Danio rerio: one gene and its partners. The protein of the gene in region 1 interacts with the protein of each later gene in a pairwise test. Links are inferred from orthologs where the notes say so. Each region holds a gene or a part of one and is shown in the gene's direction. Other genes may lie near its edges.

Region 1 (3,660 bases):
TTGGTAGACATTTGATGTAGAATTGATATGCTCATACTGTATATACTATATGCTTTTAGGACTGTATATTGGGGTGTTTCGTGTACCTTTTAAGGCAGCATTTCTCAATCCCAGTCCTTTAATAGGTGCTCCCCCTGCTACACATTTCACTTTTTCTCTGCGCTTGCTCTCATTAAGCTCATGCTTCACAATTTACTTGTAAGACGCTGAAGGCAATGCCACAAATACATGAATGAACGTTCTGAAGTGAAATAAGATTTTCTCATGCGCAGGTAGTGAGCAATAAGGAAGGGTCTAGGAAATGCACACTGCGTAGGGACATATCAGTGAGAACACAGTTCATGCATGGAGATGGTCATCTAAATCAGTGTTTCTTAACCGCGTTCCTGGAGGACCACCAGCTCATTTTCCTTGGCTGTTTCTCAATTCCAAGAATGCAGAGAACGGACTCGTGTTCTTGTGGAGACCGTTCTTGCCAAGTTACCTCGGTTGAATGAACTTTCTGAGACCATGAGAACAGAGAACGCTACCTCTGAGAAATGAAATGCTGCATTCTTTTTGATGGTCACATGACCTTCACGCATTCACGCAACTGGAAATTAATAAAACATTACAGCATTCGTTCATTCATTCATTTTCATTTCAGCTTAGTCCCTTTATTAATCTGGGGTCGACACAGTGGAATGAACCTCTAACTTATCCAGCACATGTTTCATGCAGCGAATGCCCTTCCAGCTGCAACCCATCATGGAATCTCATACACTCTCTTTCACACACATAAAATATGGATAATTTAGCTTACCTGATTCACCTATAGTGCATGTCTTTGGACTGTGGGGGAACATGCAAACTCCACACAGAAATGCCAACTGACCCAGCCCAGGCTCGAACCAGCAACCTTCTTCCTGTGACGCGACAGCATTACCTGCGCCACTGCATCACCTACGGAATTCATACAACGATTTCTTGTTTTCCCCCTTTTGAATATATATAACATGCACAAAACGCATCCTCGATATCAAGAACACATTCAGGAACTTTCGCGTGTCCTCTGTTCTTGCGGTCTTGGGTTTTGTAACTGAACTTTTGCGGTTGATGATGACGTTACACAAGAACACAAGGATGCAAGATAGGTGAACAACGCATATTGAGAAACAGCCAGTGTTTCTCACCCACAATTCTGTAGGACTATTAGCTTGTTTTTCTTGTCTTCTTAACCAAACACACCAGTTTCACATCATCAGCTCATTAGCAGAGACTGAAAGATTTGTAATGGGTGTGACAGACAAAGGAGACATCCAAAGTATGCAGTGTTGCAGGCCCCATAGATTTCCATTCATACGATGCGAATGTGTCAGACTGAAAATGCAAGTTCGTGCAACTAGTTTCGTAGTTTGCTGCATTGCAAAGTTTAAGCTTGGTTAACTCTAACCTGGGAAATTGCATCACGTGACTGTGCAAGACCAATCAAAGATCAAAACATGACCTCTCTGGACAGATATGTAAAATATGAACAAATCTCTCGCTTTTCTAAATGTCTAATCATCTTGTTTAATCTCGCAGCTTTTCGCAGCGCTGTACTACAAAATTCACATGCTTAAACTCAAGTGTGACCGCGGTATAACGCTAATCTAAATCAGCTTTGTTAAATAGGAGAGACATGCAAAATATGTAGAGGAGGAGGGCGTAAGAACGGGGATTGAGAAATGCTGCGTTAAGGCATGATATGAAAACATGCTAAATTATTATATAGATCAAAGATTTTCAATCAGTGGGCCTCAGCGATCCTGCAGGTGGACTGTGAGATGGCTTAAAATTACCTTTAATATTGTACTATAATTATTTGATGTCATTATTAAACGTCATATTAAAAATAAAATAGTAATGGCATTTCCTGTTTTCTGTGATTGAGCAGACTAATTTGGACTGTGCAAAAACAGCCTCACTGTGAAAAAACTGTGGCTTAAATTTCCAACCGCTGCGCGTCAAATGGGACTATGTTCTCAGTTGTATAAAGCAAACAGTTATGCAAATGTAAAGGTAATGTTGTTTTATAATAAGCAGCTCACGCTTGCCTCACGTCTGCAACTCATACTGTATCAGAGTCACACAAGTCTCCTGATTCACAAACTATGTATTTTTTCTTTGTGTGAACACTTTAAAACATCCTCATAGTTGTCCAAATTAACATCTTGCGAGCGTTTTATAACTAAAGTGAGTCCGTACAGGAGGATCTAGCAACAATCTGTGGTGTTTCATTTATGAACAGCCGTTCACCTTTCCTGTCAGCGAACTCTAATAATGTCCAGCTACAAACTAAACCACCATCAGATCGATTTTTTTCAACATATTTAGATGGTTGTTTCTTTATTTTACATTTAGGGTTGGGGTTAAGTGGATATAAATCAATAGATGAAGAAAAGGCCCAAATACTCTGCAGCTTTAAAGAATAACTGAAGGAAAGAATTCAGGAGCTTTGAACCTGTCTGTGTGTTTTTAAAGTTTTATATATATATATATATATATATATATATATATATATATATATATATATATATATATATATATATATATATTCTTATATATATATATATATATATATAACTTTATATATATACATATATACATAAAAAAATGTTGAAAAACTAGGGAGTAATAGAGGGCAAAATAAATGTTTTGCTAATAAATAAAGCTTTAAAATAAGCATTTTCTCTAGACCAGGCATGTCCAAACATGGTCCTGGAGGGCCGGTGTGCTGCAAAGTTTAGTTCCAACCCCAATCAGACACACCTGGGCTAGCTTATCAAGCTCTTACTAGGCTTTCTACTCTAAAAACATCCTTGCAGGTGTGTCAAGGCAAGTTTGAGCTAAAATCTGCAGGACACCGGCCCTCCAGGACAGAGTTTGGTCACCCCTGCTCTAGACAATCAGTTTGGGTCTTCAAAAATTTTTCAGAGAAAAAGGTGGGCCTCGAAGTGAAAAAGGTTGAGAACCACAATCTAGATAACAACAGATAAATGAACAAAAAAGATGGTTTTGTGGGTTATGAACTGTAAAAAATCTCAGCTCTCGTTGGGTTAAATAAAAGCCACTAATAACAAAGCACTCTGTTTGCAGCATGTCTGTGACCCAGGCTATGGAATGGCTGATTGAGCATGTTGATGACCCCATGGTTGATGCGCCTCTACCAGGACAGGAGAGTCCAGGGGCAGCCGCCGCTGCAGCGCCTGCTCCAGGAGCCTCTGCCACAGCTTTAGCAGCCCGTGCTCGTTTGATCTCCCAGGCCAGCATAGACGAGGCCAAACAGGATGAACTGACAGAGATCTTTAAAAGGATCAGAAGAAAAAGAGAGTTCAGACCAGACTCACGGGTTAGTGTCATGTGAGAGTCATGAGAAACACAAGAAGAACAGTTGAGTTTTAAACTCAAACATTGCTGTAGCACTAATATATGCCCAAGCCATTTTGAATGAGATGCGTTGTGTCGTTTGTGTGTAAGCAGGCAGTGATTGCACTAATGGAGATGGGCTTCGATGAGAAGGAAGTGATCGATGCTCTCCGCGTCAATAATAATCAACAGGATGCAGCTGTATGTAAACACTTAAAGAATTGTATCAAGTATATTGTGTCATTTCTTCTGCTAATTAAGATGCCTCAAATT
Region 2 (3,760 bases), on another chromosome or scaffold:
CAGGTTTTAACAGATTTACCATAGAAATAATATATACCACCAATATATTAAAAGTGTACTAAAGTGAATGCTACATATAGTTTATTCATTCATTCATTTTCTTGTCGGTTTAGTCCCTTTATTAATCCAGGGTCGCCACAGCAGAACCAACCGCCAACTTATCCAGCAAGTTTTTTTACACAGCGGATGCCCTTCCAGCCGCAACCCATCTCTGGGAAACATACACACACACACACACACACACACACACACACACACACACACACACACACACACACACACACACACACACACACACACACACACATTACGGACAATTTAGCCTACTCACCTGTACCGCATGTCTTTGGACTGTGGTGGAAACTGGAGCACCTGGAGGAAACCCACGCGAATGCAGGGAGAACATGCAAACTTTTCTGTTTTCTTATGACATAAAGGCTAATAAAATACGTTTGGAAAATTGTGATTTGTATTTTCACAGCGTTTGATTGATGTTATTGCATGATCTTGCTATGCTGAAACTACTTCAGTTTAAAACTTCACAGAAAATCAATTGTGAACGGCTGGCAGTGGTGATATAATAAAATTAACTAATTAACAAATAAACTAAGCCGAAAAGAAAATGAATGAAAGAATGAAAGAATGAATGAATGAATGAATGAATGAATGAATGAATGAATGAATGACATGTTAAACTTGTTCATTGTTCAAAACATTGCATTTTAGTGCATTAAAATAATTTAAAACAACAACAACAAAACATGCAGTGACAGATCCAATGGTTCAGAAAAACCATTATCAAGAATTACCACAAACACATATGTTTAAAAGTGTAGCTGTTAGAGTGATTACTACATATACAGTTTAATCTAGATATAAAATCTTTCAGATTTTAACTTTAGATGGGGCAAACAATTTTTTGTCTCTTAATGACATGCACAGATGAATTATTCACCACAGAACTAACAATGCAAGCTAACAAAATCAATATGGTCAGTTTTGATTTCATCTGTACTTAAATCATCAATTGATCGTTTTAATAATCAAAACATTCGTCCAGATCGCCAGACTCATTTTAAACACCGTAGTGACGGGAAACAGAGACATCTAGAGGTGAAACACCATATGAACAACACATGATGGAGAAGAACTACAACCCCCGATCCACTACAGCTCCTCCTTCTTGTAGGACGCATTTGCGTCTGACGTCACGCTGGCTTGTTTTGGCCGTTTGTGTCGATATCCGGCGATCAAACGCTGTCGATGTGCTGGATATTGTGACTGAGAGGTACGTGAGATTCTTGAAACAGTCTTCGTGTGTTGAAGTCTTAAATGTGCTTGTTTATCCTCGCCCTTCAGCTGAGGTGAAATACCCGGCTGAGAGGGTAAATCTGTCTTGTTTAAGTGATGTCAGCTGGCGAGGAGGGTTAACGCCAAACAGCTAGCTGAGCCTGGCTAGGGAGTTTAGCGAGTGTTGATTTGCTTGTTTCTTCTGCCCTTTGGTACAACTGACTACTTCAGCGATGTTTTTCTTTGAAAAGAGTTGGATAAACGCCTGATCAAATCCTCAGCGCAAAACGAGCTGTTTTCGGCTGACAAACTACAGGAATTAACTGATTGTTTCAAAACATAGTGTGCTGACTACTTAGGAAGCATGCTTGCCTGGTTTTAGGCGCAACCGAACTGAAACACCATAGATAAACAAGACAGGAAAGTACATTTAAATGGCTGCGTAGAGAGAAATTCAGTGACAGCGCTGTTTTCTAAAAAAATAAACCCCCCTTTTGATCAAGGACATCAACTCTTTTACTGTCAACTTTCAAATTCATGTCCTGTGACGTTATATAAACTCAAGCCAGTCAAAGGTGCGGAATTGAAGATGTGGTTTGAGTCTCTCATTTATTCTGAGATGCTTAAAATGTTAGTCATGTTTGGAAACTTCATAGTGGGAAATGAGATGTTCGATATATCTTCATAATTAAAGGGATAGTTCACCCGAAAATGAAACTTTTCTGTTTTTTACTAACCCTCATGATATCCAAGATTGAGGTGATTTGCTTGTCTTTCTTCGAGTTTTAAAGTAGATTGAGGTATTGTAAGTTTGAGGTAAAGATGGTTTTATATTTACACATTTATTCAGTGACAGCTTGTGACATGCTCCCTATATTGTTTACCTTGGTACTTTGGACGTTCGGTCTGAAATCACATGCAAGTATGACTTCAAAACAGCATTAGCACTGTTGATTTGACTTTGAACAATGTTGTACTTTGATAGCCATTGGCTGCTACTAGGGTTTCTCTATTTAGAAATTGCAAAGAATACTTTTCTGAAATTATATTATTACGGAGAAAGTCAGAATGTGTAAATATAAAACCAATTTTACCTGAATATTTAGGGATGCTCCAATCAGGATTTTTGCAGCCGATACAGAGTACACATTCCTTGTCATGGTGATCGACTGATACCGAGTACTGATTCTGATGCTTCAAGGTTTTTAATGCATTAAGCACACTTTCCCTCTAAGTTTAAAGCTTAAGAGTAGATCTAGCCTTTCCTAAGAAAATAAATTAAGGATGCTGCATAAAATACCTTAAACATATTTCTTATAACCTTTCAGGTGTGAACATTTCATGGCCAGAAGCAGCTTTACCTTATAAATATGGTGCCAGATCAGTCTCAAAATAACACATTTACAAAATAAAATTCCTACATGCACAGCACAATTCACATTTCACAAAATCCAATTTGTACATTTGTAAACACAATTCATGAATTCACAATTAAAATCATATATCTTTTCACAAAATTAATTAGATTTGTGTATTTTTGAATCATGTTTTGAATTTACATATTGAATTAGCTTTTTTTAATCGTTTTTATATTTACAAATTTGATTTGTATTTTTTTCATTTTTTTTTGAGTTTTCAAATTTGATTTGTGTATTTTTAAATCCTGTTTTAAACTTCAAATTGAATTTTGTAAATGTGAATTGTGTTGTGGTTGTATGATTTTTATTTTGTGAATGTATTATTTTTGAGACTGATCTGGCTCCATATAAAAACATAAGACAGTATAAACGGGTCACTCTGCATCTGTATTTGATCTGCTATAACGTGAACACGTTGATTGCTCACAGCCCCATCCATCTTTTACCTTGTTATGTGTTGTGGCTGCTGTAGGGAATGTATAATATATGGGAGCACATGTGGGTTTTCTTCTGCCTGTAAACTCCAAAACACCAATCGAGTTATGAAATGTGATTATCGGCCGATACCAATCTTCTGCAGATCGATCGGAGCATCCCTATCAGTAAGTTGCATTGATTGAGCTAAAGTTGGTTCTTATGATCACACATTTGTTCAGTGCCAACTTGTGACACGGTCTCCATGTTCTTTACCACACTACTTCGAATATTTGTCCCAAATGCCATGCAAGTATGACTTCAAAACTACATTAGCATTTATTTGACTGTGAACAATGTTATATTTTGATATAGGGTTGCACAATATATAGTTTCAGCATTAATATTGCAATGTGATATTTCGCAATAGTCAATCGGAGGATATGCTATGTTGAGTTTATATTATAATTTATCATTTGCATGTGTTTTTGATGCCTGGAATTGTATAATGACTTTTAAAAAACGTTCAGGCATAAGAAATTGTACAATTTGTGACTTTAATAATGATTCATTTTATTTTGTTATTTTTATTTTTATTATTTAGTTACTGTGCTTGAATACTGTTAGAGTCGGGGAAC
Region 3 (3,660 bases), on another chromosome or scaffold:
CAACTTTTTATGTTTTTATCTTGTAAATGTAAATTTTATCACTGTTTTGGAGCACACTAGACTATAGATATCCTTAAAACTAACATCTAATGTTAATTTTGATTTCACGGGGACTTTAAACTTACTGAATGAGAATAGCGTTGCTGTATGTGTGCTGCAGTTTAGAAGAGTGTGTTTTGGTCCACGCAGGCACACAGTCAGGACAGATGTCAGGAGAGGGGAAGGCTGGTCCTCCAGGCTCAGGATCTCGAGGTGGAGGATTCCCTCCTGGCAAAGGTCAGAGACGCTTTCCTGGCCCACCTGGACAAGGAGACCGCTTCCCTGGACCGGTTGGACCTGGCGGTCCTCCACCACACTTCCCAGGTATAAGCTTGAACAGGAGTGAACTTTTGAATTGTCAGTATATACATCAGAACTAACAGCTATTATTATAGGTCTGCAATGGGAGGAAACAAATAGGACTGTAATTTGTTCTATCAGTTGTTGGATCTATAACAACTGATAGAGAAGATTTAATAATGCAAGTTTCTACAACATTATACAGACTTAAAGTAGAGGGTAAAAATGTACATTTTTGTTGTGGACCGGCACATATTGGAATAATGGGAAATAAAATTGGCAGATAAATTGGCAAAAAGAATCATTGAAGAAAAATCAAGTAGATGTTAAAGTACCTTTGGGAAGGAATGAAATGAGATCAGTAATTAATAAGGAAATAACAAATATTTGGCAACAATATTTGGTCTGAAAACTGATGCTCTGAGGTGAATGGGTCACTTTTCAAGTGAATCAGAAAAAGTTGATCAATTGTCCTAAATCAAGAATGGGTGATGTTTAATGTTCACCACAAAACTAGCAGTGTGAGCTCCCAAAATCATACGGTTAGTTTTGATTTCATGTGTATTTTTGTAATCCCTTCTCCTCTCTGCTTCAAAATGTAATGCATCAAATCTTCTTGCAGGTATGCAGGGCCCACCACGTCTTCCCTCTGGCCCACCTGGGCCCCTGGGACCTCCAGGCCCCCCTCCACCTGGACAAGGTCTGCCTCCTCCCCTCGGCGGACCCCCTAACAGAGGAGACCGTCCTCCTCCACCTGTCTTGTTTCCTGGTCAGTTCGGGCAACCCCCAATGGGCCCGATGCCTCCTGGGCCTCCCCCACCAGGATACGGGCCTCCCCCAGGCCCCCCTCCACCTCAGCAGGGACCACCCCCTCCAGGACCCTTCCCTCCCCGTCCACCTGGGCCCTTAGGACCCCCGCTTGGCCTCGCACCCCCACCACACATGCAGGGACCCCCACCTGGAGGCCCACCGCCGGCTCCTCACGTCAACCCGGCCTTCTTCCCACCACCTGGAAACAACATGCCATCATCTGACGGCAGAGGACCCCCACCTGGAGACCCGTACGGCCGCCCACCTCCTTATGACAGAGACTTCCCTGGTGGCAGGTAATAAACACATCGCCCACAACTACACCTATACTCTAAAAAGCCCGAAGTGTATGTGCACAGTTAAATGAACAGTCTTACTATAGTATGCTGTGATGGCATGCTCACTACAACAGATAACACTGCAAATATGCATTCAATTGTTTTTCATTGGAAGCACATTTAGATGTAATTTAATCATTTCACATTACATTTTAATATTGACAGCCATAACTTGATAACATTTTATAAATATTAAAAAATAAGTGAAGTTTCACAAACTAATTTCTAGAAGAGCACGTGATATGATCAACTAGAGCTGATCCTCATCACTGATCATTAGCTAGCCTATCAGATCATTCCAAAACTACTATGAATATCCTGCCTAAACTCCGTTCCCTGTCTTCGTTTTTGGCAAACCCCCTTCTATCCTTCCCTTCTCCTTCCTCGTTAATTATATGATAGGGCAACAGGGTGGCTCAATGGCTGGCGCTGCTGCCTCGCAGTGGGAGGGCCAAAGGTTCAAGTTCTAATTGAGCCAGTCGTTACTCTCTGCCATGAGTTTGCATGTTCACCCTGTGTTCCCGTATGTTTTCCTCGGGTACTCCGGTTTCCTCCAACAGTCTTAAAACATGTACATAAGCGAACTGTAAAGTCATAAGCACTTAACGCATACATACTGAATCAGTCAGAACCACCATATTAACCATAGTATAAAACAAACGAGAGGGCTCTCGAAGAATACCCGATCTCCTATCCAAACTAATGCTCATTGACCAAACGGGAACCTTGTGCTCTTCGATTTGAGATTCAGGTTCTCTCCTGGGACAGCATGCCAAACCTGCTATCATAGTTAAGCATTGTCTAAGTGTGAACTCCTAAATGTATTTATATATTGTTACGTGTTAATGATGTTAAATAATTAAAAGGATGATACGTAACAATCAGTGAGTCCATTGATGCTGGGTGAATAAGGAGAAGACACAAACGCTTGATAAGTGAAACAAAAAGTAAGTATTTATTAATGGATAATGTCAAACAATGAATATGAGATGGAAGATAAATGTAATTTTAAATAATTGAATTAAATAAAGAAAAATAGGAGTGTTGCCAAAACAAAGAAATAAATATAACAAAACGATCTAACTAAACCCCAACCCACTAAACTGACTGATCAAAGAAAAATGCAGAAACAAAACAGTAATCTTCAGCACGTAGCTTAACTAAACTTCATAACTCCCAAACATAATTACACATGAGGCAACGCCTCCAAAAACGAACTAATACAAAGTTATACTAAGCTGCTCGAAATACTAGAATTCTTGTAAAGTACAGACTGTTAGCCATTAGCAAAACAAGATCTCAGGTAATCCAATTCTCATAAAGATCGTTCATATTCTCACTATACATTAACCTGAGCAGCACAAGTTTAACTGATAAATCCATATCAACAAAGAGAAAACTAGAACACAGCACTCGCAAACAAACCAAGCGGAACAAACAAGTCAACAGTTTGAGAGATTGACAGGCCAAGCGCTCCTCCAGAACAGCGCAAGCGCACCGGTTTTATACTGCGCGGACCCAATCCTTATTAGCGCCGATTGAGTGACGAAGGTGAATGACAGCTCACTCGACCAATGGTAGCACACCTGAAACAGGATAGGACCACTGCGAGAGAGAGAGAGAGAGAGAGAGAGAAGAGCGCAAAGCAGAAAACAACAAAAATACCACAAAACATACGTGAAACGTAACTATTTTTTTAAACCTGTCTATCTTGCATTTGGATGGTATTTCCTTTTATTTTGGTGTCGCTTTAGTTTTTAGTTGCTGAAATGTCTGTGCCTCACTTTGATTTAACATGTGATGCAATGTGATTCAGCACTAACGACCACTGCAGCTCTTTGTGTGAATTCGATCCCTGAAGCATTACGCTTCGCTCTGACTCGTGCTTTTAGTTTGCGCGTGTTCATTAATCAGCATTTTGTGTGCTTCAGGGACATGGATGCGTCTCGCACTCCCCTGAGCGAAGCTGAGTTTGAGGAGATCATGAACCGGAACAGAGCGATTTCCAGCAGCGCTATTTCAAGGGCCGTTTCTGATGCCAGTGCAGGTGTGGAGATCATTACACCCAGCACAAATATGAGGTGTGGTGTGTTGTGAATTAACCGTTTCCGTTTCTGCAGCTGATTACGGCAGTGCTATAGAGACTCTGGTGACGGCCATCTCTCTGATCAAG

What was found. The genes of interacting proteins can lie anywhere in the genome.
Region 2: the proteins of ubac1 (region 1) and rnf216 interact in binary tests that used the Homo sapiens proteins (3 or more experiments, as listed by UniProt). The link is inferred for Danio rerio from reciprocal best matches to the Homo sapiens genes UBAC1 and RNF216.
Region 3: the proteins of ubac1 (region 1) and cpsf6 interact in a two-hybrid assay, tested with the Homo sapiens proteins (2 studies listed by BioGRID and IntAct). The link is inferred for Danio rerio from reciprocal best matches to the Homo sapiens genes UBAC1 and CPSF6.

What each region holds. Positions count from the first base shown.
Region 1 is NC_133180.1:55,322,697-55,326,356, forward strand, and holds part of ubac1 (ubiquitin-associated domain-containing protein 1), read left to right. Parts: intron 1-3,117; coding exon 3,118-3,370; intron 3,371-3,498; coding exon of another isoform or gene 3,499-3,501; coding exon 3,502-3,588; intron 3,589-3,660.
Region 2 is NC_133178.1:39,616,783-39,620,542, reverse strand, and holds the start of rnf216 (E3 ubiquitin-protein ligase RNF216), read left to right. Parts: upstream 1-1,210; 5' UTR 1,211-1,288; intron 1,289-3,760.
Region 3 is NC_133179.1:2,380,895-2,384,554, reverse strand, and holds part of cpsf6 (cleavage and polyadenylation specificity factor subunit 6), read left to right. Parts: intron 1-189; coding exon 190-363; intron 364-961; coding exon 962-1,445; intron 1,446-3,418; coding exon 3,419-3,534; intron 3,535-3,607; coding exon 3,608-3,660. UniProt on the Homo sapiens protein: Component of the cleavage factor Im (CFIm) complex that functions as an activator of the pre-mRNA 3'-end cleavage and polyadenylation processing required for the maturation of pre-mRNA into functional mRNAs.